Sus scrofa: one gene and its partner. The protein of the gene in region 2 interacts with the protein of the main gene of each other region in a pairwise test. Links are inferred from orthologs where the notes say so. Each region holds a gene or a part of one and is shown on either strand. Other genes may lie near its edges.

What was found.
Region 1: the proteins of RNF185 (region 2) and YIPF2 interact in binary tests that used the Homo sapiens proteins (3 or more experiments, as listed by UniProt). The two-hybrid records come from large-scale screens. The link is inferred for Sus scrofa from reciprocal best matches to the Homo sapiens genes RNF185 and YIPF2.

What each region holds. Positions count from the first base shown.
Region 1 is NC_010444.4:69,638,055-69,649,798, forward strand, and holds YIPF2 (protein YIPF2), read right to left. Parts: upstream 11,638-11,744; 5' UTR 11,426-11,637; exon of another isoform or gene 11,421-11,425; intron 11,272-11,420; 5' UTR 11,242-11,271; coding exon 11,211-11,241; intron 10,835-11,210; coding exon of another isoform or gene 10,832-10,834; coding exon 10,677-10,831; intron 10,595-10,676; coding exon 10,514-10,594; intron 8,976-10,513; coding exon 8,888-8,975; intron 7,850-8,887; coding exon 7,488-7,849; exon of another isoform or gene 7,414-7,487; coding exon 7,231-7,413; exon of another isoform or gene 7,141-7,230; coding exon 7,027-7,140; 3' UTR 7,009-7,026; intron 6,904-7,008; 3' UTR 6,513-6,903; downstream 1-6,512. Other genes in the region: histone-arginine methyltransferase CARM1, read left to right, coding at 3,318-3,403, 3,586-3,675, 4,134-4,271, 4,364-4,453, 4,544-4,656, 4,787-5,177, 5,339-5,765; TIMM29 (mitochondrial import inner membrane translocase subunit Tim29), read left to right, coding at 11,664-11,744.
Region 2 is NC_010456.5:47,969,242-47,981,860, reverse strand, and holds the end of RNF185 (E3 ubiquitin-protein ligase RNF185), read right to left. Parts: intron 12,385-12,619; coding exon 12,272-12,384; intron 10,882-12,271; coding exon 10,827-10,881; intron 6,882-10,826; coding exon 6,764-6,881; intron 4,491-6,763; coding exon 4,393-4,490; 3' UTR 2,159-4,392; downstream 1-2,158. UniProt on the Homo sapiens protein: E3 ubiquitin-protein ligase that regulates selective mitochondrial autophagy by mediating 'Lys-63'-linked polyubiquitination of BNIP1.

The DNA of each region.
Region 1 (11,744 bases), on a different chromosome or scaffold from region 2:
CCCCCCTGGCTATGGCTGTGGTATAGGCCAGCGGCTACAGCTCCAATTCAACCCCTAGCCTGGGAACCTCCATATGCTGTGGGTGTGGCCCTAAAAAGAAAAAAAAATTATGACCATTACCCACAGTATATGGATATTTCGGGGCCAGGGATTGAATCCGAGCCACAGCTGCGTTCAGAAATGCTGGATCCTTTAAACCTGTGCCTGGCTGGGGCTCTGACCCATGCCTCTGCAGTGACGCCAGCCACTACAATTGGATTCTTAACCCACTGAGCCACACCAGGAACTCCCATTTTGCTTTTTTTATATTTTTAGGGCCACACTCACAGTATACAGAATTTCCCAGGCTAGGGCTCGATTTAGAACTGTAGCCGCTGTGCCACAGCAACATAGGATCCGAGCTGCATCTGTGACCCACACCACAACTCATGGCAACACCAGATCCTTAACCTACTGAGCAAGGCCAGGAATCAAACCTGAGTCCTCATGTTTCTGCTACACCATGACAGGAACTTCTGCTTATTTTCTATTTCAGTTCTCTGTGAAATTTTTTCACCTTTTTTCTTAAACATTAGTAAGTCTCTTAATTACTTTTAGTATCTGATTAGTGGCAAGTGTATTTCTGTTCATTATTCTTTTGGGTTTTGGTTCTCTGGTCTTGTCTCTTGGTATGCCTGGTCATTCAATGCCAGAATGAAAAATCATAGATGCTCTGGATGATGTTTTTCCCCAAGGATTTGTTTTTCTTCAGACTCTGAGCCATAAGGACAGATCACCTTGGTCCCATGAAGTATTTGAGATACTTAGGGCCTGCTTTTCAGACACTACTTGGTTGGTATATTTCCTGGCTTCCCTGTAAGGTAGCAGTGTTCAAACATTTTGGTCTCAGGACTCCTATACAATCTTAAAAATGTAAGCTCCCGGAGTTCCCGTTGTGGCTCAGTGGTTAACGAATCTGACTAGGAACCATGAGGTTGCGGGTTCGATCCCTGGTCTCGCTCAGTGGGTGAAGGATCCGGCGTTGCTGTGAGCTGTGGTGTAGGTCGCAGATGCGGCTCAGATCCTGCGTGGCTGTGGCTGTGGCTGTGGTCGGTGGCTACAGCTCCGATTAGACCCCTAGCCTGGGAACATCCATATGCTGCGGGAGCGGCCCTAGAAAAGACCAAAAAAAAAAAAAAAAAGCTCCCAAAGAACTTTCGTTAATGTGTGTTTTATCAATTTGATATATCATCAGTATCTATTGGTATTAAAAACTAAACCCAAGAAGTTTTTAAATATACACTTACTAGTTAATTTATTTATTTTTGTCTTTTTTTGCCATTTCTTGGGCAGCTTCCGCAGCATATGGAGGTTCCCAGGCTAGGGGTCTAATTGGAGCTGTAGCTGCCAGCCTATGCCAGAGCCACAGCAACGCAGGATCCGAGCCACGTCTGCAACCTACACCACAGCTCATGGCAATGCTGGATCGTTAACCCACTGAGCAAGGCCGGGGACCGAACCCTCAACCTCATGGTACCTAGTTGGATTCGTTAATCACTGCACCACGATGGGAACTCCTTTTTTTTTTTTTTTTTTTTTTTGGTCTTACTAGTTAATTTAAAGGTAATAAACCTATTACATATTAATAGCATTTAAGAAAAACTATTTTCCAAAACTTTTCAGCAAGAATAGCATCATTTTTTTTTTTTTTTTTTTTGCTGTTTCTTGGGCCGCTCCCGCGGCATATGGAGATTCCCAGGCTAGGGGTCTAATCGGAGCTGTAGCCACCGGCCTACACCAGAGCCACAGCAACACGGGATCCGAACCGTGTCTGCAACCTACACCACAGCTCATGGCAACGCCGGATCGTTAACTCACTGAGCAAGGGCAGGGACCGAACCTGCAACCTCATGGTTCCTAGTCGGATTCGTTAACCACTGCGCCACGTCGGGAACTCCAAGAATAGCATCATTTTTATTTGGGATATTTCTTCATGTCTGGCTTCATAGAATACAGTTGGATTCTGCTTCTGCATTCAGTCTCTTGTGATAGCACAGGTGAGGGAATACATGAAAAGGGCAGAAAACATCTGTTATTGTGAAAATAGTTTTACCTTGAGGGTGTTCTGGAAGGGATCACATTTTGGGAACTGCTGCTTTAGTTTCAGTGATCTCAGTCAGCCTGGTGGTTCACAGGCCTCTTGTCCCAGCCTCCCAGCACCACTATGCTGCTGAACCTTTTCTTAGCTTTTTAATCTCATAGAAGCGGCTTTTTGCTTGGTTTCTCTAACCCCCATTCCACATGCAGCTCAAATGCCACAAAGTGAAATCAAATGGAGAACATCCACCTTGTGTTTCCACATTTCCCGTTTCTTTAGCATCTCAGTTCCTTGAGTCCTAGCTACTTGGCTAACTCTGAGCCCTCATTTTGCTTCCCCACCCAGGGAGGCTGCTGAAAGGCCCACCCCAAGGTGAAAGACACAGGCCAAAAAGCATCCCTCTAGGATCTTAGCCCCCAAATTGTGGCTGCTGTGGTTGCTCTCCAGTGTCAGACAACAGGGTTTTTTTCCTTTGTTTTTAACTCCGCTCGTTTAGTTCTTGGCAGGATTGTTAGCCTGATATAAAATCTCCATCGTAGCTGGGATGGATGTCAGCACATGGTTCTCTTGTTTTTTTCGTGAACATGCTTGACAACTTATTTGGGAGCTCTTTCCCCACCTATTCATAAAGAGCTTCCTCTTCTTCTTTTCTTTTTAAGAGCTTCTTTATTCTTTTTCACATACATAGTCTTTTATTGATGGGTCATTGTTGGTTTAATTAGATGGTTTCTATGTGTTGCTACTCTAGGCAGCCTGTAATTAACATGTGTAAGTTTATACATATGCACAGAGATCTGTAGGTTAAAAGTCCCAGAAGTGAAATTGACAGATCTTTTTTTTTTTTTTTTTTTGTCTTTTTAGGGCCTCACCCACAGCATATGGAAGTTACTAGGCTAGGGCTGCATTTGCAACGTACACAACTCACAGCAATGCCAGATCCTTAACCCACTGAGTGAGGCCAGGTATTAAACTCAATTCTTCATGGATACTAGTGGGGTTCATTACTGCTGAACCACAATGGGAACTTTATACAGATGAACAGTTGTCATTTTGAGAGGTGTCACCTAGCTGCCCTCCATGGTGTTATACCAATTCACCCTCCGTTACATCTGAGAACAGCAAACTGCTTTTGGCTGAATGGCCTAGAGGCCATGGCCAGACTCAGGAAGAGGGGCAGGGCTTTTCTCTTCATTGCTGGCCCCTTGGCCTGAAGCCAGGTCACACCTGTGATCTCTCTCAGGACACATTTGACATCCGGATCCTTATGGCCAAGTCTGTCAAGTACACGGTGAACTTCTTAGAAGCCAAAGAAGGAGATTTGCACAGGTAACCTGCAACCATGCCCCATCCTCCTGGGCCTGGCTCCTGCTGGAGGTCGGGACCCCAGCTGGCTCCCTCAGGCAGAATTCTCCCCAGGGCAGGCAAACAGGAGCCCTGACCTCCTACACTCGACACTTCTCCTCGCCCCTGTTCAGCTTCCCCAGCAATCACTGCCCTTTGCCTTCCAGGATAGAAATCCCATTCAAATTCCACATGCTGCATTCCGGGCTGGTTCACGGTCTGGCTTTCTGGTTTGACGTCGCTTTCATTGGCTCCATGTGAGTGCAGTGTGTGGCCCTAGCCCCTCAGCCCCAGGGACTTGCCTGCAGTTGTGACCCCCAGGCCTGGCTGGCTTGGGAGGGCAGGACATGACTCCTCCATGTTCCGCTGTCCCTTCCAAAACGCAGTGAGAGCTGGCCTTGGAGGGAGAGACTATTTTGTGTGTGTGTGAGCGTGTTGGAGGGAGGCTAATGTCTATACTGTCCTGAGTGATTCTTCTTCACAGTGCCTGAACTGTGTCTCTTGGCATGTATGTCAAGGCGAGTGGGTGCCCCTGGCTGTGGGGCTGTGTGTGCGGTTGTGTGCTGAGGACATCCCGGGCAGCCAGCCTCTCTTGGCTTCAGGACCCCTGGGGGAGGGGGTGGGTGCCTGGGGAGAGCACAGGGTGGGCCCAGGGGTGGGGGTGTCGGAGTGGCTCCAGCCCAGATATAAGTACATGCTTGTCCCTGCTTGGCAGAATGACCGTGTGGTTGTCCACGGCGCCGACGGAACCCCTGACCCACTGGTACCAGGTCCGGTGCCTGTTCCAGTCACCACTGTTTGCCAAGGCTGGGGACACGCTCTCAGGGACATGTCTGCTTATTGCCAACAAAAGGTGCAAGCTGCCGCCCTGGGGGCCTGGGGAGACAGGGGTCCGGTCCACCCACGTAGCCCCCTCATGGCCACCCTTTCCTGCCTTCTCTGCAGACAGAGCTATGACATCAGTATTGTGGCCCAGGTAGACCAGACAGGCTCCAAGTCCAGTAACCTCCTGGATCTGAAAAACCCCTTCTTCAGGTAGGATGGGCCCTCGTCCTGCGGTGGGGGTGCCCTCCTGGCCCGCAGCCTCTTGGCCCCACCCACGCCCACAGTCCTTCTCTGCCACAGATACACCGGGACGACACCCTCTCCCCCACCGGGCTCCCACTACACATCCCCCTCGGAGAACATGTGGAACACCGGCAGCACCTATAACCTCAGCAGCGGGATGGCTGTGGCCGGTGAGCAAGGCCCCCTGGGCGGGGTGAGCAGCGGTGCCCCCCGCCCCGGGCAAACAAGCCCACAGTCCTGGTCCCTGGAAGCCCTGCTTGGGTCACTGCCCCACCCCTGACATCTCCCTCCCTGGCACAGGAATGCCGACCGCCTACGACCTGAGCAGTGTTATCGCCGGAGGCTCCAGCGTGGGCCACAACAACCTGATTCCTCTAGGTGAGCGCCCTGGGGGCCGGGCGCCTGGGACTGCCGCACTGGGCCTTCTGCATCACCACCTTTTCTTCCTTGCTGGGGCTGAGGTCCCCTGTTCCATTCCTCTCTGCCTCGCTCTGCCAGAACCATGCCCACCTCCCTCCCCACACCCGTGTGTGAGCGCCCACCACGACGGGCGCGTGGGCCGAGGCAGGCTGGGGGCGGTGACGCCGTCTCCCTTCCTTCCTTCCTCCCTCTTGCTGCGCAGCCAACACGGGGATTGTCAATCACACCCACTCCCGGATGGGCTCCATAATGAGCACGGGGATTGTCCAAGGTAACGGGGACAGAGGGAGCAGGGTCCTGCGGGCGTGGGCATGCTGACCGCGGCGCCCGCCTTGCCCTCTCGCCTGCTCTCTTCTCTCTCTGACTCTGCCGCGGGTCCGGGTGGGCAAGGGGGTGGAGCTGGTCCCTTAGTGCCCACGTCCCACCCCACAGGCTCTTCTGGCGCCCAGGGCAGCAGCGGCGGCAGCTCCAGCGCCCACTACGCGGTCAACAGCCAGTTCACCATGGGCGGCCCCGCAATCTCCATGGCCTCGCCCATGTCCATCCCGACCAACACCATGCACTACGGGAGCTAGGCCCGCCCAGCGTGGAACAGACTGACAGCACCAGGAAACCAAATGAAGACCCTGCCCACCCCACCCCTCCACCTGGGCGGCTCTCACCCCTGTACTGGAGAAGCCGAACAACCAGTCACAGCCCTCTTTGCTACGGGAACTCGAACACTTTTTTACACAACGTTGCCGCCGCCCCCACCCCACCGCCCACCCACATCTTGGCCCTGAGCGCGTGTCGCTGCCATATTTTACACACGATCATGTCATGGGAGCCCTGTTGCCCCCTCCTATCCTCTCCACCCTGACCTGGGCTTGACATCTTCTGTAACAGGCGTGTCCGGGCCTGACAGCTGCAGGCCTGGCGGGGGAATGGAAGCAGCTGCTGCCGGGTCCCTGGGGCCTGCCCTCCTCTGTCTCCAGCAGGAAGGCTCTCCTGGCTGGGCGGGGCCTCCCCTTCAACTACCAGGCCTTGGTCACAATGGGCGTGACATGCTGCTTTTTTTAATTTTATTTTTTTACGAAAAGAACCAGTGTCAATCCACAGACCCTCTGAGAAATCAGGCCGGCCGGGCCGAGCCAGCAGCCCCTCTCCCCGACTCAGAGGCTCAGTGGCGAGGGGCAGCCCTGCGGGTCTGCAGGATGGGGCAGGGCTGGGCCTCTGGACCCCTCGGCCCCCTCCCACCAAAGGGTTCACCTCACACTTGAATGTACAACCCACCCGGCTGTCGGGAAGGCCCTCCGTCCTCAGCCCCTGCCTCTTGCTGCTGTCCTGTCCCTGAGCCCCTGCAGGTCTCCCACCCCCACCCGCACCCAGAGCTAGAACAGGTGGCCCTGTGGGCCCTGGAGGGAAGGGTCACCATCAGCCACTTGGGGCAGACACAAACCTCAAGGGTCTGTGGTGAAAGGCGTCCTTTTTCCGTGTAGCTAATGTTAGGCCTGTGTGTCCCCTTCAGTATTTGTAGATGCTCAAGTCCCCACTATAATGGCATTTTGGTCCCTCCCCAGTCTGGGAAGGGGCCTTGCAGGGACCCCTCCAAAAAAGAAAAGCAAAATAAACAAGGAAATGTATGTTTCAGCACAGGCAGTTTTCTTCTACTTCTCCCCGTTTCTAACACCCGCAAACTCAGATGTGGTGGAGCTAGGCCCAAGGCCCACAAGCTGGGCACCCCAGTGAGAGCAGGCACAGCCAAGGCTGGGGTGGCCCTTTTGCTGCCCACCCGTCCTGGCAGGTAGCCCATGGGGCGATGGCTGCCCTGGAAGCTCCCTGCTCTGTCCCTCTTCCCGCCTTTATATAAATTCTCTGAATCACCTTTGCATAGAAAATAAAAGTGTTTGCTTTGTAAGAAAAGTCTGGAAAGTAGCAGAATGATCTTGAGGTTCCAGGGGTGCCTTCAGTCACCGTCTTGGGGGCAGGGCAGGCAGAGGCATCCCCTCCTGATGGGCCTGAAAGACAGAAACTCCTACGAGTGGCCCTGACTTCTAACGGGGTGGGGGGCTCGGCGCAGTGGCGGGGGCAGGCCTCAGCTACAGCTGGAAGCAGTTCCTCACCTGTGGGCTCCAGCCTTCCTAGGTCGCCATGGACTTTGGTAGGGTGGGTGGCAGCGGTATGTTTGGGGGCTGGGCTGTGGCCTGGTGGGGAGGTTCTAGGAGCTCCGGAGGCAGCGGCTGGAAGAAGTAAAACTGACCCAAGATCCCCTGAGGTCAGCATCAGAGCCCGCAAGCCAACCCCAAAACCCAAGGCCCAACCTATGACTTCCCCGAGACTGGTACCTTACAGCCCATGGCCAGGAGGGCGTGGAGCAGCACCACGGCAGAGAGCAGCACTGCGGCTGCCAACCTGGTGTCCTCGCGGACCACCGGCCAGAGGGTGAACACCAGGCCAGCGGCTGAGAGGGCCAGGGCAAGTGCCCCAAAGAGCCACTGCAGCCACGGGATGGGGACGAGCCATAAGACCTGGAGGCGACAGACAGTTGGCTACCAGGTCTCGTCCCCAGGGCACCTGTGGCCCATCCCTGGGCCCCACTCACCACAGTGGGGATGAAGACAAACAGGGAGTAGCCGTAGACGCACACTGTCTCCAGGAAGGTGTAGGGCCCCATGCGCTCTCGGACACCTTTGCGCCACTGCAAGAAGCCCCACAGTGCCAGCGGCACCAGCCATGCGTAGCAGTAGATGGTGATGCCAGCCACGGTCACTGTGGGGCAAGGCAGGTCATCACCCCCTGGGGCACCCCTGGGCCCGCCAGGTACCAGGCCTTGCCCAATTTGCTTACCTTTGTGGAACTGCGGGCTGTAGTGGATGGAAGGGTCCCTCTTCTGGGCCAGCACCAGGGTCAGATTGCCGGTGACAGCCAAGACAAAGGCCAGTGTGGCACAGATCCAGAAGGGGCCTATGGGCAGGGCAGGGGCGGTGCCAGGACAGGTGATCTGTCCCAGCCTCTTCCCAAGCCCCGGGCCTGCCTCCACCCAGTGCTCCATCCACCTGGCATCACACTTGACAACTTGCTGGCTGAATCCAGGGCTGGCTGTCAACTCAGGCTCTCGTTTCTCTTGGCCTTTCAACAGCCTGTGATGTAGTTGACTCCCCTCCTTCTGAGAGCACTCTTCATGTGGTTCCCAGGACTTTATGCTCTTGCTTTTGTCTCATCTCACTGGCAATTTTTTACCTCTGACTCCCTGGTCTCTCCAATGATGGGGAGCCAGCCGGGGCCCAGTCCTCCACCCTCCCCTCTATGTGATCTTGTCCATCTTATGCCACCTCTGCACTGACAACCCCCAAATGTCTCAAGCCTGGGCCTCTGCCCTAAACCTGGCACTCATATTCGCCATTCGCCCCACTACACTCACATGCCAGAATCCAACCACGCCTCTCTGTACCCCAGGCTAGGCCTGGCATCCCATGCCTGGACCTTGGCCATCACCTCCATGGTCTCCTGGTGTCTGCCCTCGCCCTCCCCAGGGCAAACACCACCCACGGACACTTAACTAAGATCCCTTCTCATCAAAGCATAGGAGACCTGTGAGATCTGTCCCGTCATCTCCTGGCAGCTCACTCCAATCCAGGGACAGTGCTGCCCTGCAGTTCAGGCCTGAACTGCCACATGCCGCTTCTGCTATGCTCTCCCCCAGGTCTCCCCACCCCCAACACTGACACCAACAAGGCTCATTCCCTCACCCTGCTCAGAGGAGCCTTCCCTGAAGAACTGATGCGAAACAGCAACCCTTGTCCTCTAAGCCCCCTGCGACTCTTCCGAGCCCCACTGCCCTCTGCAGCCTAATCTTCAGGCACTGTCTCCTTGAACAGAGGGTAAGTTTCACGCTCTCCCAGGGTGGCTCTGCTTTGTTCTCAGCTGTATACCTGGACCTGGCACTCAGTCCACATTTGCCAAAGGACTAATTGAATGAACAAAACACACAACCTCACTCACCATACAGGTCTGGCCGATTCCGCAGATGGTGCCGTACAAAGTTGTGGCCAGGCCGGGGCAGCAGTGAGCCTTTAATCCGGTCCAGGACCTGGGGGGCAGAGCCGAGGTGTAGGATGGAAGCCTGCCTGGGGCTCTTCACCACCCACAAAAGAGCGGGGTTGGAGTTCCCGTCGTGGCGCAGTGGTTAACGAATCCGACTAGGAACCATGAGGTTGCGGGTTCGGTCCCTGCCCTTGCTCAGTGGGTTAACGATCCGGCGTTGCCGTGAGCTGTGGTGTAGGTCGCAGACGTGGCTCGGATCCCGCGTTGCTGTGGCTCTGGCGTAGGCCGGTGGCTACAGCTCCGATTCAACCCCTAGCCTGGGAACCTCCATATGCCGCGGGAGCGGCCCAAGAAATAGCAACAACAGCAACAACAACAACAACAGACAAAAAGACAAAAAAGACAAAAAAAAAAAAAAAAAAAAGAGCGGGGTTAAGCTCCTTAGGGGTTCCTTCCCTGCTGACCTCCCACCTCCTCTCCACACCACCAAAAAGGGCTCTTCCCTGTGGGTTTCCTTTTTTTTTTTTTAAATAAAGGTTACACCTGCAGCATATGGAAGTTCGCAGGCAAGGGGTCGAATCAGAGCTACAGCTGCTGGCCATAGCCACAGCCAGGCGGAATCGGAACCACATGCGCAAGCTGCACCGCAGCTTGAGGCAACACCAGATCCTTAACCCAATGAGTGAGGCTAGGGATCAAACCCACATCTTCATGGATAGTAGTCAGATTCTTAACCCGCTGAACCACAATGGGAACTCCTCTCTGGTTTCTAACGGGCTATTCCCATGGCCTGGAGCCCTTCCCCTGGCCAGGCCCCACTCACTATCCCAGTGTCCCACCACTCTAAAGAACACTTCTGGGCCTGCTATCTTCTTTGCATCTCCTTCCTCTCAGAATCCGTGTCCTGGACTCCCCTTTTTGCTCTCTCCTCCCTGCCCCCATAAGGATCGGCAACAAATCCCGGGCGTTCTCATTCACGTGTCTCTCCCAATATGTCCCCTATTCTACAACCTTGGTTTAATATTATCTCCCTGTCCTGGGGCCTCCGATCCGTGTTCCACGCTACTCAATTCTCTCCCCCTCTAAACTCTTCCATGACCCCCCAGCACCGTTAGGATAAAACCCAAACTCCCTAACAAAGCTCAAGAGACCCCTGTGACCTGGATTCTCTCCACCTGTCTCCCATTTCACTCTCCAGACTGAGTGATACAAGGCCTCTGCAGTAGTTTTTGTCTTCTCTCATTACTGCTCCTCTACCTATGCTGTTTCCTGGGCCTGGAACGTACTTAAGCTTCCTTCCACTCTGCCTGGCTAAATCTACCTTCTCCTTTAAGTGTCAGCAAATTCCTCATCTCTCCCAAGGGGTCCTTCCCTAACCCACCATATCACGTGTGTTCCCTGTCACACATCAAAATCCTTGCAGTCCACACAGTTACATCTACCAGCCTGGGTAGGACTCTTGTTCTCTCATATGAGTATTGCTAGCACTTGCTCAGGGCCTGGTGCGCAGGAAATGCTCAGTGACTAGTGGCTGAACCCCAAGTGTGACTCTGAGCCCCATTCCACCAACTCCCCGGGTCTGACCTGTGAAGTGTCCACGTCAAAGAATGTCTGATAGTAGCCAAAGGTCCAGAAACCAGGCTGCTGCTTCTCCTCCTGTAGGAGCTGAACAGTGTGGGCTTTCAGTGAGGGGTGAAGGGCAGCAGGGACTAGACAAAGGCAGGGCACAGAGACTTAGGGGACCCACCGCTGCCTTGTCACTCTCCTCTGCATCATCCTCAGTTCCATAGCTGCCCCCTGAGCCCATGGCCACAGCCACATGCCCCTGGGGGGTCAACTGATCACTTCTGGTGGTGGTCGCTTCTGGGGTCTGGGCCAGCAAATTAGTGGCTTCCTCGAACTCTGCTGAGAAGGAATATGGGACACAGGTGTATTTGAAGGGGTCAAGACAATTTGGTTCTGCCCACTGCTCATCTGGGGGCCAAGACTAACTGTGACCACCTCGGTGTTCCCCCCAACCCAGGGTACAGCTTCCTCAATTTTGGGGAGTGGGAAAGAGGTGTGTCCCCTTCCCCTCACTCCTAACACTGGACCGCAATTGAGGGCTGGTATGGGGTAGAGGCTCAGGTTTGAGGTCTGAGTTTAGGGCTGGAGCGAGGTTCCTGCCTGGGTCAGGTTTCACAGCTGACTGGGATTCCGGTTAGATGTGAGCTGGGACCTGGATGGGAGGTTCTGGCCAGTGGAGGGAGTAGGAGTGGGGTCAGACCGCGGCGGCACTCACCGTGGAAGGCCAGCTCGTCCGCCGCTGCCATGATCACTCAGGGGCGTCGCCGCATCCCGCTCTGAGGAGAGAGGCCAATCAGGCCCACCCCAACCCCACTCAGCGCCACTCCTTGAAGCCAACCCTCAGCCCCGAGCCCCGTTTGGCGGCTGACCGTACCGCAGGGGCGTGAACACAGCACTCCCGCCCCCCAGGTGCACCCCCGCCCACCTCACCTGAGGCCGCCTCAACTGGCGTGGCCGGTACTCTCTGCGCCTGCGCGACCCGCCTACCAGCCGGGGCAACCCCAGTCGGACCCGACAGCAACATCCGGCGTCGGTCCGTTTTCTATCGTCTTCCGATGGGAAACTACCTCCGGAAATGTTGACGCTTGCGCAGAAGATATTCACCGGATCTTTTTGTTTCGCATACCAGGCGTTTCTTTTCGGAGTAGGGACGCCCAGCCGGAAGAGGATGGCGGCCGCTGCACTGAAGAGGTTGTGGTCCCGAAGCCGTGGGGAGGCGGGGGACGCTGCGGCTGCAAAGCCTGGCGTG
Region 2 (12,619 bases):
GACTCTTGCTTTTTCCTGAACACATTCTGTCCTTGTACCACTCTTGCCATTCCTACAACCACCAGCTCTCTCTCCTCACCCACTGCTCCCCTGTTCCCTGTAATTCTGTGGTCCCACTCTGCCAGAAGTGCAGTCTTATTTCTAATCTCTTCCACACAATATTATTTTCAATTATATCATTTCACAACCCCTGTGAATTAATCTAAATCTGCACTGTCCAGTATGGTAGCCACCGGCCATAGGTGACTATTTAAGTTAAAATGAGATAGAACCAAAAATTCAGTTCTTCAGTCCACTAGCCACATTTCATGTGTCTGATAATCATGACAGTGGTTACTGTGTGGCATGGTGCAGACAGAGAACATCTCCACAATTGCAGAAAACTACTGGACAGTGCTGTTCTAGACAATGGTAAGGGCTGCTAACATCACAAAGAGGGACAACCAGACTTTATGTGTCCCCTGATATGATGCAACAAGTAACTTATGACAGTCTTAGAAAAAAAAAAAATTAAGCCTGAATCTGGCCAAGCCTCTAGATTTAACAACCAATTTATGGGAAATACAAGAGTAAGAGTTTGTTAATAGCACAGTGATGAAAAGAGCAAAAGTTGGAGTTCCCGTCGTGGCGCAGTGGTTAGCGAATCCGACTAGGAACCATGAGGTTGCGGGTTCGGTCCCTGCCCTTGCTCAGTGGGTTAACGATCCGGCGTTGCTGTGAGCTGTGGTGTAGGTTGCAGACGCGGCTCGGATCCAGCGTTGCTCTGGCTCTGGTGTAGGCCGGTGGCTACAGCTCCGATTCGTCCCCTAGCCTGGGAACCTCCATATGCCGCGGGAGCGGCCCAAAGAAATAACAAAAAGACAAAAAAAAAAAAAAAAAAAGAGCAAAAGTGCAGCTGTGGGAAACTAAACAGGACAAATAAACTGCTTTCCTTAACAGATAAACTGCAAGGGAAAGAAAAGAGGTACAAGAGGATTCTAAGGATGTACGAGATTTAGAAAAGAGACATCCAATAGCAACGTATGGATCTGATTTGGTTCTCAACTCAAACTGTACAAAAAAATTATGTGACAACTAAGAAAATCTGAATGATAACTGGATAGATGAAGATATTAAAACTTTTTTTTTTTTTGCCTTTTCTAGGGCCGCTCCCACAGCATATGGAGGTTCCCAGGCTAGGGGTCTAATCGGAGCTGCAGCCACCGGCCTATGCCAGAGCCACAACAATACAGGATCCAAGCTGCGTCTGTGACCTACACTACAGCTCATGGCAATGCCAGATCGTTAACCCACTGAGCAAGGGCAGGGACCGAACCCGCAACCTCATGGTTCCTAGTCGGATTCTTTAACCACTGCGCCACAACGGGAACTCCAGAATTATCAATTTTTAAAGGCACATAAAAGTATTTTGGTTATATTTTTAAAAATCCTATTGAGATGGATATTTAAATGCTTAGTAACATATGACTAGAATTTGCTTCCAAAAAGTGTAGGGGAGAGGAACACTGTGAGGTGGGGTGAATTAGGACTAGACCTGGAGCTGGTCAATTAGTACACGCAGGCCTTACTGTCCTGTTCTACTTGTGTGTCTTGTTTCCTTTTCTTATTGGCCTTCTGAATTCCTGGAGTTACCTTACCTTTGCACTGGCACTATTCAGCTTGATAACTGTTAGGACAAAGTTCAAGAGGGAGAAAAAAGCTCCTTTCAGAGGGGTGACCAGGTGTGCTGGGGAGCCTGAGGCTGGACCAGGCTTGTAATCTCACCATCTTCTATCTTACACTCTGCTACTGAGGGACCTCACATAGCACGTTCCCTCCTCCGGGGAGAGGGCTTGGCTGGAGGCCCACCTGCCCCTGTGATACAACACGGGGAAAGATGCTGACATTGACTGTACTCAAGGCTCTTTTTAGCCACAAGCTAATAAGCTCCATGGTGGCAGCCTGCAAGCTCTGGAATTTCACACTTATCAGGACTGGGTCTGCCTGTCAGACAGGGCACACCTTGAGTGGGTCTGTGTAGGAAGACAGGCCTCCAGCCTATACTTCTCCTTTCTAATTAACTGTGGATGTGTGAAGACTTTCATCCAGACCAGTGTGACTAGTCCCCAATCCATTCCCCCCATTCCCCTGACCCAGACAATAAGTGCATAGCTCACAGTTATGTAAAACCACTTGTTTAATTCTACTCAAATCACTTTCACAACAGTGAAAATTAGTGACTGGTCAAGATGTGCCACTGTACATGGTGTCATTTTCTGACTGTGGTTGGGACCCGGTCCTAATCCACAAAGGTGGCAGGAGGGGTGTGGGAGCCAAGAACATAGTACACACAAAAGAAAGGAAAACTGCCTCAGCAGAGGGGTGAGGTGGTGAGCCTGCAGAGGGTGGTGGGAAGGGAGCTCTCTGTCGGGGCTGGGCCAGCAGTCCCAAATTGGCTCTTCTGCCCCAGCTCCTGGCAGGAGGTGAGTGGGGGCCTGCAAGTTTCAAAATTAAAGGGCACAAGGCCAAACTGGCTTTGCTGGCAGGTTCCTATGGTGCCTTTGCTGGTGGAGCTCTCTTGGGCTCACTCTACTCGGTTAAAGGGTCCAAGTTATTCGTCTTCCTACCTACTACTCATCTCACTGAAGTCCTCTCTCCCTGCACTGAGATACTCCAGGGCCCCTCAGACTTTGGGTATTTCTAGAAGGTGATAAAAAAGCACTCTTGAGTAGGTGCCTGGAGAATGTTTAAAATCCATCAGGCACATCGTAAAGCTGGTGGCTTATTCCTACCAAATGGATTTGGTAAATGAGCCACCTATTCAATACTTATATTTTGTCTGTTTAAACACTGAACTCTGGCATTGAAAGGTATAAGAGAAAAGGGGCGGGGGCTGTGGAGAAGGGAGAAAGGCTTCCCTCATCTTTCTCAAAAGTTTTGGTTTCTACACACTGTGCAAGCCATATCTGGAAAAAACAGATAGGGGGCACTTTTGAACACTTGCTGGCTATTGCTAGGGGTAAACCAGGAGCAGTGTGGACTGGTGATGTGTCAGGTGGCCCCCAGAGTAATCCCATCTCCTCTCAACCTCAGGGTCTCCTGGAGGAGGCTAGATTTCTAGGAAGAGGCCAGACCAGCAGAGCAAGAACCATTCTACCAAGTAAACTGTCCTTCTGCCGGCACCACACTCCCTTGATCAGATTTGGAGGAAAACACATGAGATGTTGAAAAACAAATCAAGAGCTTGGGAAGAATGATTTCCCTGAAGTTTCCAAGGGAGGACATCCACAGGAAGACTGCATCCTATCATCACGCTGAGGCTGCCTGCTCTGAGTCACACGCTCCCTAGTTTTAGCACACAAGGGGTCTCCACGCTGTACCCAAATCAGGGTCACACACTGGTCTCCCCCTTCTCTGCCTCTTCATTAAGGACAACTAGGTTTCTGAGGAGGGTGGTCTTCAACATGCAGTTGGGGTGACTCAACAAGGCCCCCAGTATCTTTGAGGGGTCCAGAGAGGATGCACCTGGAGCTTCTGTGGCCTAGGGGACAGGGCTGCTGCTTCAGTTGTTCCTGCATCTGGGCCCTGAATCCCACCTGGGTCCCAATGGCAGGTCTTTGATAATGCGCAGTCGTCCCTGCTTCGGCAGTTGTCCAGGCTGGGTGCCCCCTGGCAGATGTGCACAGCTTTGGAGGGAAAGTTGATGGGAAACCCGTGAGTGAAGCCACATGTCTCTGGGGATAACCTACGCCAGGAAACCTGGGGTCATTCAAACCACTCTGGAGCCAGAGACACTGAGCATGGCCCAGATGCAACAAAAGATCTTAGGGTCTCTGGTGAATTCACAAAGCAACTCCAGCGCCAGCTGCTTCAACTATGATCTTCATAGGCCAGCACTTTCTCATATCTCTGCTGAGGAAGAGGAGGAAGAAAGAGGACAGAAGAGCACTGGGATCTGGAAGGGGAACCTTTCTAGATGACTTCAGAGGCCACTTACCAAGGGGTATTTAAAGAGATGAAAAAAGAGTTTCTGCAAGTACTATTTGGTTCATCCATTTGTTGTTGCATTATTAAACTCAGGTGAAATTGTACTGACAGTTTCTCTCCTGCCTCTCCCCTGTGCAGAGTCAGGACCTACTGAGCTGGCTGGAACAGGATTCCACGGTGTAACCCATGAGACACAACTCAGTGCCAAGGCCTGAGGTTACAGCAGGGTGTTTACAGCAGTGGCAATACTCCAGGGTCCTCAACAACTGATCTTCAGTCTCAAAGCTCTGATGGAGAAGACTCCTTAACATGTTACTAACCCCTATTCCAGGGGTCAGGATCAGCCAGGAAGTCAAACATCAAGAGTGAGGGTGGCGTGTCACCAATCCGGAGGCCCTGCCATGGATGTAGGCTGGGAGTTCACCATTAGGCAATCAATAGCCAGAACATGATCACCAGGGCCACAAACAGGAAGAGGCGTGACAGGAACTGCTCGTCCACATACTGGGGCGTTCCAGGGACAGCTGGAGGGACAGGAGGGAGAAGAGGTTGTGAGAATGCTACAGCTGTGCACACTGCCCTCCAGAGTCAGAGGTCGAGAGTGTCAGCCTTCATCACTTTACAACAATCCTGCTCACTAAAATGATTTCCAGGAGTTCCTTTGTGGCACAGTGGGTTAAGGATCAGGGGTTGTCACTGAAGTAGGTTGGGTCTCTGCTATGGAATGGGGTCAATCCCTGGCCCGGGAAGTTCCATATACCATGGGCATGGCCAAAACAAAAAAATATTTCCAAACTCCAAATAATCTTAGACAAAACAAAACCAGAATTATGAAAACATATGGAATCATACAATAATGAGGACAAAGTCTCCCATTTATTCTAAGAGGGTTTGGCCTGCAGGTGCAAATAGAACTGGAAAGTCTTGGAAAAAGAAAAGCTACTGTTTGTTGGGCATCTTTTATGTGCTGTTTTGTATATATACATTATTGCTTGGTATTATTATCCATTTTGTATATGTAAGTCCTTACTGAAGCACAGGTATGTGGGGACCTGCCAGAGACCTGGAGGTCCATGAGTTAGTGGGGATGCCACAGAGCTGTGCTCTTAGCCTCTCAGCATGCTGCCTCCTAAGTCATGGAGTCTCTAGATTCTGGCATTGTTGGGCCAGGTGGGGTCTCAGGGAGCCCTGAGTGGGGCACCTTCCCTTTCCAGAGGCGAAAACTAGGCCCCAGACAGGCAAAACGACCTGTCTCCCTCTTGCATAACAAACTAGGGGCAGAGGTGGGCTAAGAACTTGGATTTCCACTTCTTTCTGCTTTGAGAAAAGCTAATATGAACTCCTTGTCCTGACCATGGGAAAGAGTTAAAAGAATCTATATCCCAGATGGGCAAACTGTCCAAACATGACAACAGAAAACTGTCTTTAGCTGTAGCAGGGGGTAAACTGATCCAGAGTCCAGCCTGGCTGCGGAATTCTGTTTACATGGGGAAACCAGGGTGAGCCCTAGGCTAGGTTGGATGGAAACAAGCTACCAGGCAGATTCCTGCTGCTTCCATGGGGCCCTGTCCCTCCTTTAGAGCAGAACACACCCTGCCCTGTGGGGTCTCTTCCCTCTGAGCAAACCCTATGTGAACAAAGGGAAACCTCTGAAGTAAGGAAGGGCAGTCCCATGACCTCTTGGTGTTTTACTGTTCCCCTCTTAGATCTCTGATGGAGTCAGGCAGCCAGCAGTCAACAAAGACTTATCGACTGAATGCTGTGTGTCAGGCACCATGGTGGGGACAGGGGACAAATGGGATCGCTCAGGAGAGGTTACTGTCCCCAGAGCATAAACCCCTGGCCAGGAGCCATGCACTGGTCCCTCTGTACCTCAACTGTGCTCAGCCCACATGAGGCCCCGGTGAGTGCAAGCAGAGCTCAACCAACCTCAGCATCTCTAAAGGCTCCAGGGTCAGAATCTGGGCCCGGGCCTCAGATCATGACTGAGCCCAGGGCCCCCACCTCGCCACCCTGCTCTATACCAAATGCCACTGACAGTCTCACACTGGCTGGAGGGAGAAAGGTAGCAGTGGATGGCAGACCAAGGCAGAGTTCCCAAAGAGCTGGGGCTTAGGACCAGGCCCACATGTGTCCTGAGGGAAGCTGGCTGGAGATGCCAGAGAATAGAGACCTTGACTCCCTGTGGATGCCTCTTCCTCCAAGCCCTCATGGTCAAAGTGGGGGGTTCGTGCCTAGGACTAGGCTTTTACTCAGGGCACACAGTTTACGGTTTTTTTTTTTAGGGCCGCACCCATGGCATATGGCAGTTCCCAGCCTAGGGGTCAAATCGGAGTTGTAGCCGCTGGCCTACACCACAGCCACAGCAATGCCAGATCCGAGCCGCATCTGCGACCTATAGCACAGCTCATGGCAACATGAGATCCTTAATCCACTGAGCGAGGTCACAGATTGAACCTGCATCCTCTTGGATCCTAGTCAGATTTGTTTCCACTGAGTCACAAAGGGAACTCCTATGCTTTTTCATTTTATGTCTTGGGAAAAATTACTGAGCATTTTTTGTTTATAAAATGGAGCTAAAGTCCCACAGGCTTATGGTAAGGATCCCACGCTTATAATGGAAAGCACTCTGAACATGCCTTATCCTTGGTAAGGTTGCAACATCATTACTATGTCTACTAGTAATCGGAAAAGATTTTAGCACATTTTGCAAAGGCCGATTATCCATGTAGTAACCTACATACTGCCAAATTCCAAGGATCCTTCAAGAAAAATGACGAAGAGAATAGGGTCCTACCTGGAGGAGGTCGCCCATCGTTTATGTTAAATGCTGTGGCAAATATCCCAAAGGGAAATGCCCCAATTCCAAAAGACATCTGGAAGCCACCATCTCCAAATCCAAACCCTTGAAATCCCTGAAATGAATAAATGAAGTTCAGAACAATAAACACATTTCTCCTGCATCTGTCAAATGTGTCACTTTACGTGTGGCACATGCTTCTCCTCCCTACCCTCTTTTCCTCCCATCTAGATCCCAAGGTAGAGGAACCCTGGTGGCCCTCTGCACTTCTAGCCATCAAGGGGAGGGACTGGCTCTAGCCCAATGTAAAACTCTGCTGATAAGTAAGGGATCTCAGGGCTCTGGCTTTCCCAGACTCCCACAACAGCCAGTTAAAATTTTCTATGTGCTTTAAAACAGCCAAATTGGCAATAAGTTCTATGCCCAATTACAAGGGAACTTCAGGACAAGCTACACAATGTCTGTAACAGCAAAAAAGTGGAACCCTGATTAGCCAACAATGGAGGTCATGATCAAAATCTTGGTACATCCTCTCAAAGAACATTACGCTAATTATGCAGCAACACAGAAAAACCCCTGTGACCAAGTTATCTCACAAAACTGTTCCGACGCCATGGTTGCAAGTATATGACAATATGCAGATATGTGGCAAAGTATGGATAAGTATTTTCCCTCAAATTTTTCCTTTAATATTACAGAAAATTTAAAAATTCAATATATTTTTTCTGATTGCAAAAGATATGCTTTTGAGAAATTCATATATTACAGAGGTCTCCTTGTTCACCTCCCACTTTACAACCCCTCCTGCCAATAACCACTGTCAGCAGTTTGGGATCATCCTCAGCTTTTTCCCTCTATAACATGTTCTACACTGCATCATCTTTCACATGAAAAGATTTGGTAGAAATTATAATATTGTAAATAGGTCAACTCCTATTTTTTAAGTGCCAACTGTGTTGGGCATTGTGTAAAGCACTAGGACACTCAAATCACATTTAATTCTCACATCAGCATCACCCACATTTACAGATGACCAAACTGAGGCTTGGAGAGGGGAAATAACTTGACCAAGATCACAAATCTAGGAAGGAGCAGAGTTTAGATCTAAAACTAGTCAATACAGTCTGAAAACCCACATTCTTAAAAATTGCACATCTTTAAAAAATTCCTCTCCTCCCTCACATCTCTGGGTAGATTTTTAGAACAAATTATTTTAAAAAATTAAAAAAAGAAAAATGATGGGCCAACTGCATTCCATGAAGAGGTGGCTGGCCTTCCTTTGTGAGTCTTCTCCAAGTCCTGAGAGTGGCTACTCCCAATCTCTACTGCTCCAAACTTCTTACAAGGCAGCATTACCTATAAAGCCTGACAGCCAACTCAATGAGACAGAAAACCTATAGGGAAGGAAAACAACTGTGCTCCATTTTCTTGGTGCAGAACTGCCTGACTCAGAGCAGCATGGTTGAGTCTGAGGGCTCTTGGGATCAAGGCTGCCTTACCCAGGAAGGTGCAACTGTTTCATCAGGAACCACCACCTCATTCAGTACAATCCCAAAGACTGACCCTCTGGCCTTCTTGTATATAACTCCACAAGTCTTCACATTAGGTGGGTTTCTGTTCCTGGGACTAAGCAGGCAAAAAGCATTACTGGTGGCTGTGGGTGCTTGTACTCGGCAGAGGCATGCACTGTAGTCTGCATCACCAGGGCCTCTGACTTCTTGGTTCCCTCGGATTCCTGGTTAGGAGCTAATGCTCCACTGGGAACCAGGGACTGGGAAGGTTAAGGTGGTGTCACTGGAAGCAAGGACTTCAACATAAGCCAGATCTTCAGCCCTGTTTGTGTGGCCCTGGACAAGCCACTTCACCTATCTGGGCCTCAGTTTCCTCTTTTGTTAAATGAGTTGATGTGAGATTTAAATGACATCATGCAATAAAAAGCCCTTAACATATAATTCTTTGCAGATAACAGTCATTTAGCAAGTGTTCATTGTTGGTATTATTAAGGGTAATCTGGAGAACAGACCCTCAATTTCTATCAAGACCTCTGACTCAATAATCCTACCCTGGAAATTCTAAGGAAATGCCATATTGAAGTAAGAAAACAGAAGTAGCCACCATGGCTCAGCGGAAATGAATCTGACTAGTATACAGGAGGACACAGGTTTGATCCCTGGCCTCGCTTAGTGGGTTAAGGATCCGGCGTTGCCACGGACTGTGATGTAGGTCACAGACTCGGCTCGGATCTGGCATTGCTGTGGCTGTGGTGTAGGCCAGCAGCTGTAGCTCTGATTCAACCCCTAGCCTGGGAACTTCCATATGCTGTGGGTATGGCCCTAAAAAGAAAAAAGCAAAAATAAAATTTCTTTAATATTTTAACAAAAAAAATCAAAGACTAACATCTGATTTAAAACTGTAAATTTTTTGAGCCAGCAATTCTACTTCTAAGAATGTATCCCAATAAAATAATTGTGAACCTACTAAAAATTTATCAGTAAGTTCATCAGAGTATTTTTAAATAGAAAAAAAGAAAACGAAATAGTTAACCAAAAAATTAAATTATACTAAGTGCATATATCTGCACACTACACAGCCATTAAATAAAATACTACTTGTGTCTCACTTTACTGTGCTTCATAGACACTGTGTTTTCTACAAATTGAAGGTTGTGGCAACCCTGCATCTAGCAAGCCTATTGGTGCCATTTTCCCAAGAGCATTTGCTCAATTTATCATTTTTTACTAGTTCTTGCAATATTTCAAACTTTTTCATTACTATTACATTTGTTATGGTGATCTGGGGATCAGTGATCTCTGGTGTTACTACTATGCCTTGCTGAGGCTCAAATGACAGCATTTTTTAGCAGTAAAATAATTTTATTTTAGGAGTTCCCGTCATGGCTCAGTGGTTAACAAATCTGACTAGGAACCATGGGGTTGCGGGTTCGGTCCCTGGCCTTGCTCAGTGGGTTAAGGATCCGGTGTTGCCGTGAGCTGTGGTGTAGGTCACAGACGCGGTTCAGATCCCGAGTTGCTGTGGCTCTGGCGTAGGCCGGCAGCTACAGCTCCAATTAGATCCCTAGCCCGGGAACTTCCATATGCCGTGGAAGTGGCCCCAGAAAAGGCAAAAAGACAAAAGAAAAAAAAATAATAATTATTATTTTATTTTATTTGTTTTTGCTTTTTTAGGGCTGCATTCGTCGCAGGAAGTTTCTCGAGGTTCCCAGGTTAGGGGTCAAATTGGACCTGCAGCTGCTGCCCTACACCACAGCCACAGCAATGCCAGATCCAAGCTGCATCTGCAACCTATACTATAGCTCATGGCAACACTGGATCCTCAAACCACTGAGCAAGGCCAGGGATCAAACCCACGTCCTCATGGATGCCAGTGAGATTCATTTCTGCTGTGCCACAATGGGAACTCCAGCAGTAAAATAATTTTAAATTAAGGTATATACATTGTTTTTTTAGACATAATGCTATTTATTGCACATTTCATAGACTATAGTGTAAACATAACTTTTACATGCACTGAGAAACCAAAAAATCTGTGCAACTCTTTACTGTGATATTCACTTTTTTGTGGTGGCCTGGAACCAAACCTGCAATACCTCCAAGGTCTACCTGTAAACTCTATAAGGGCAGGAACCTTTCTTATGTTGACTGATGTATCACCAGTGCCTAGAATGATGCCTAGCATACAGTAGGCAATAAGTACAGAATGAATAAACTTGTAGAAGAGGGTTATAAAACAGGAGCCAAATATTGTAAAAATTAAAACATATGTATGCAAGTATATATATACATATATTTATAAAACACACACACATAAGTAGATCTGTAACGTGTTTGTGTATATAGGTGATTATAGAAAAATAGAAAATAGACCAAAATCTTTCTAGTGATTAGATGATGTGATAAGTTATTCCCCCCCATTTCCTTTCTGTATTTTGCAAATTTTCCTTTACTTTTATAATCAAGGAAAAAAAAAAGTTCAGGGCCAAGAAGGAAACTTCTAAAGCTACAAGATCATATCTAGACGATTCTCCTAGAAATTTCCTCACCCCTCTGTTCTCCGGCTCTGGCCTCTGTCCTTGAGGACGGGGAGGAGTCTTCTCCCTGAAACAGAAATAAGTCTATTACGAAATGCTTTGAGCTGTTCCCTGAGGGGACTGGGAGCTCTTCAGCAAGTCAGGGCCACAGCTCCTTTCTGTGCCCAGCACATGAACTTAGGCCAAATTAAGCCAAATGCTAATTCTGTTATACCTGCAATTGCTTTTCCTCAGGGTGTAGAAAGCCAGGAAGAAAATCCACTTGTTATAAGATGTTCATTAGATTGTACTCAGGCTACTCCTCTCACAGACAGCCTGACCCAGACCAGTTATGACTGCCAGCCTGGGCTTGAGTGATGTAGGAGTCATGGGTGTCAAAGACCCCAAATCTAAACTGAAACAGAGGATAGCTCAGCAGATAGGGCTGAGATTCAGGGTCTCTGTTCTGCCCCATCACCTTCAGCTTTACCGCCCACTATTCTTGGGCAAGTACTTTACGTTGCTCTTGTTGCTTCTGGGCCTTTCCATGACTCATCCCACTTGTCACCCATCAGGCTCTAGGCAGGATGCTACCAATACTAAGACTGAAGACAGACCCTACCCTTGGGGTGCTTGTGACTTAAAGGGGGCTACAACCAAGCACAACACATGGTGGGAAGGGACTTCTGTAATAGAGGTGTCAACGAAATGGAACAGAGGCATGGGTGAAAGCAACTAATGTGGGAAAGAAAGGCCACTTCAAGGAGGAGGTAACTTTAGGGCTGCTCATTTAAAGATTGTAGAAGTTAGAGGAGGAGAGGGAGTTGAGCAGGACTGGGGAGGACAGAAGAAGCAGAGTGATAGTAAATACAAAGGTAAAAGGTAAAAGGGCAAGTCACTTTAAGAAAAGTCCAATACGTCTGGGTACAGGTACGCTGGAGCAAGGTGGAAGAAGGTAAGAGATGCTGTCAGAGTTTGGGTTGTGTGTATATGCACACATGTCATGAACCACACTAAGAAGGCTCTCAGTACTTGTGTTTGTAGAGTGCCAGACCACTAAACCTCCATTTCCAGAAATCTCAGAGCCTCCCAGACCCCTATCTCTCCCCTCACTGCCCCTACCCCCTCAACTTTATATATCACTGCTGCAGCAAACCCCCTCCTTGCAGACTCTCCTGCTGGACACTGCCTCCCAGGCTCCTCTACAGCACTCTGCACAATTGCAATGGTGATGTCCTGTGCACTGCCTAGAACCCTGTCTACCTGCCAGCACACACTCAGTGCAGCTCTGTATCACAGCCCAGCGTGGCAACCTGACTCCCCTCCCGGACTGGCTGACTCCCATCTGGATCCTAAGTGCCTCAAAACTGAGGATCTATAAGCACTAAGTAAAGGGTGGGGTAAGGGGATGCTGTTGAATGGAAGTGAATTTGTGTCCCATGGGAGGAGTGGGTGTGGGGGGTGCTCCATGACCTCACCTGGGGTCCTGTTGCCCAGTGCTGCCCCTGCCGTACAGCGGGATGACCTTGTCGCGGCTGATGCCAGCTTTGCAAACTGGACACACCTGTCTGTTAGGTCTGGTCTCCAACCACTGCAAGCAGGAGAGAAAACTGCATGAATGGTGCAAGCCCACCAGAGCAATCAGTCAGAACCAGCAGAACTACGCAGACCAGAGGCTTCAAACTGGAAACACCAGCACTAGCAGGGAACACCTCAAGGAACCTAACTTTCTGATTCCCGCTACTGGCACTCAATAAATATTTACTAGGTGAAATCAAAATTGCCTTTAAATGCCATCATAATGAAACAGGCTTTCTGATGCTTTG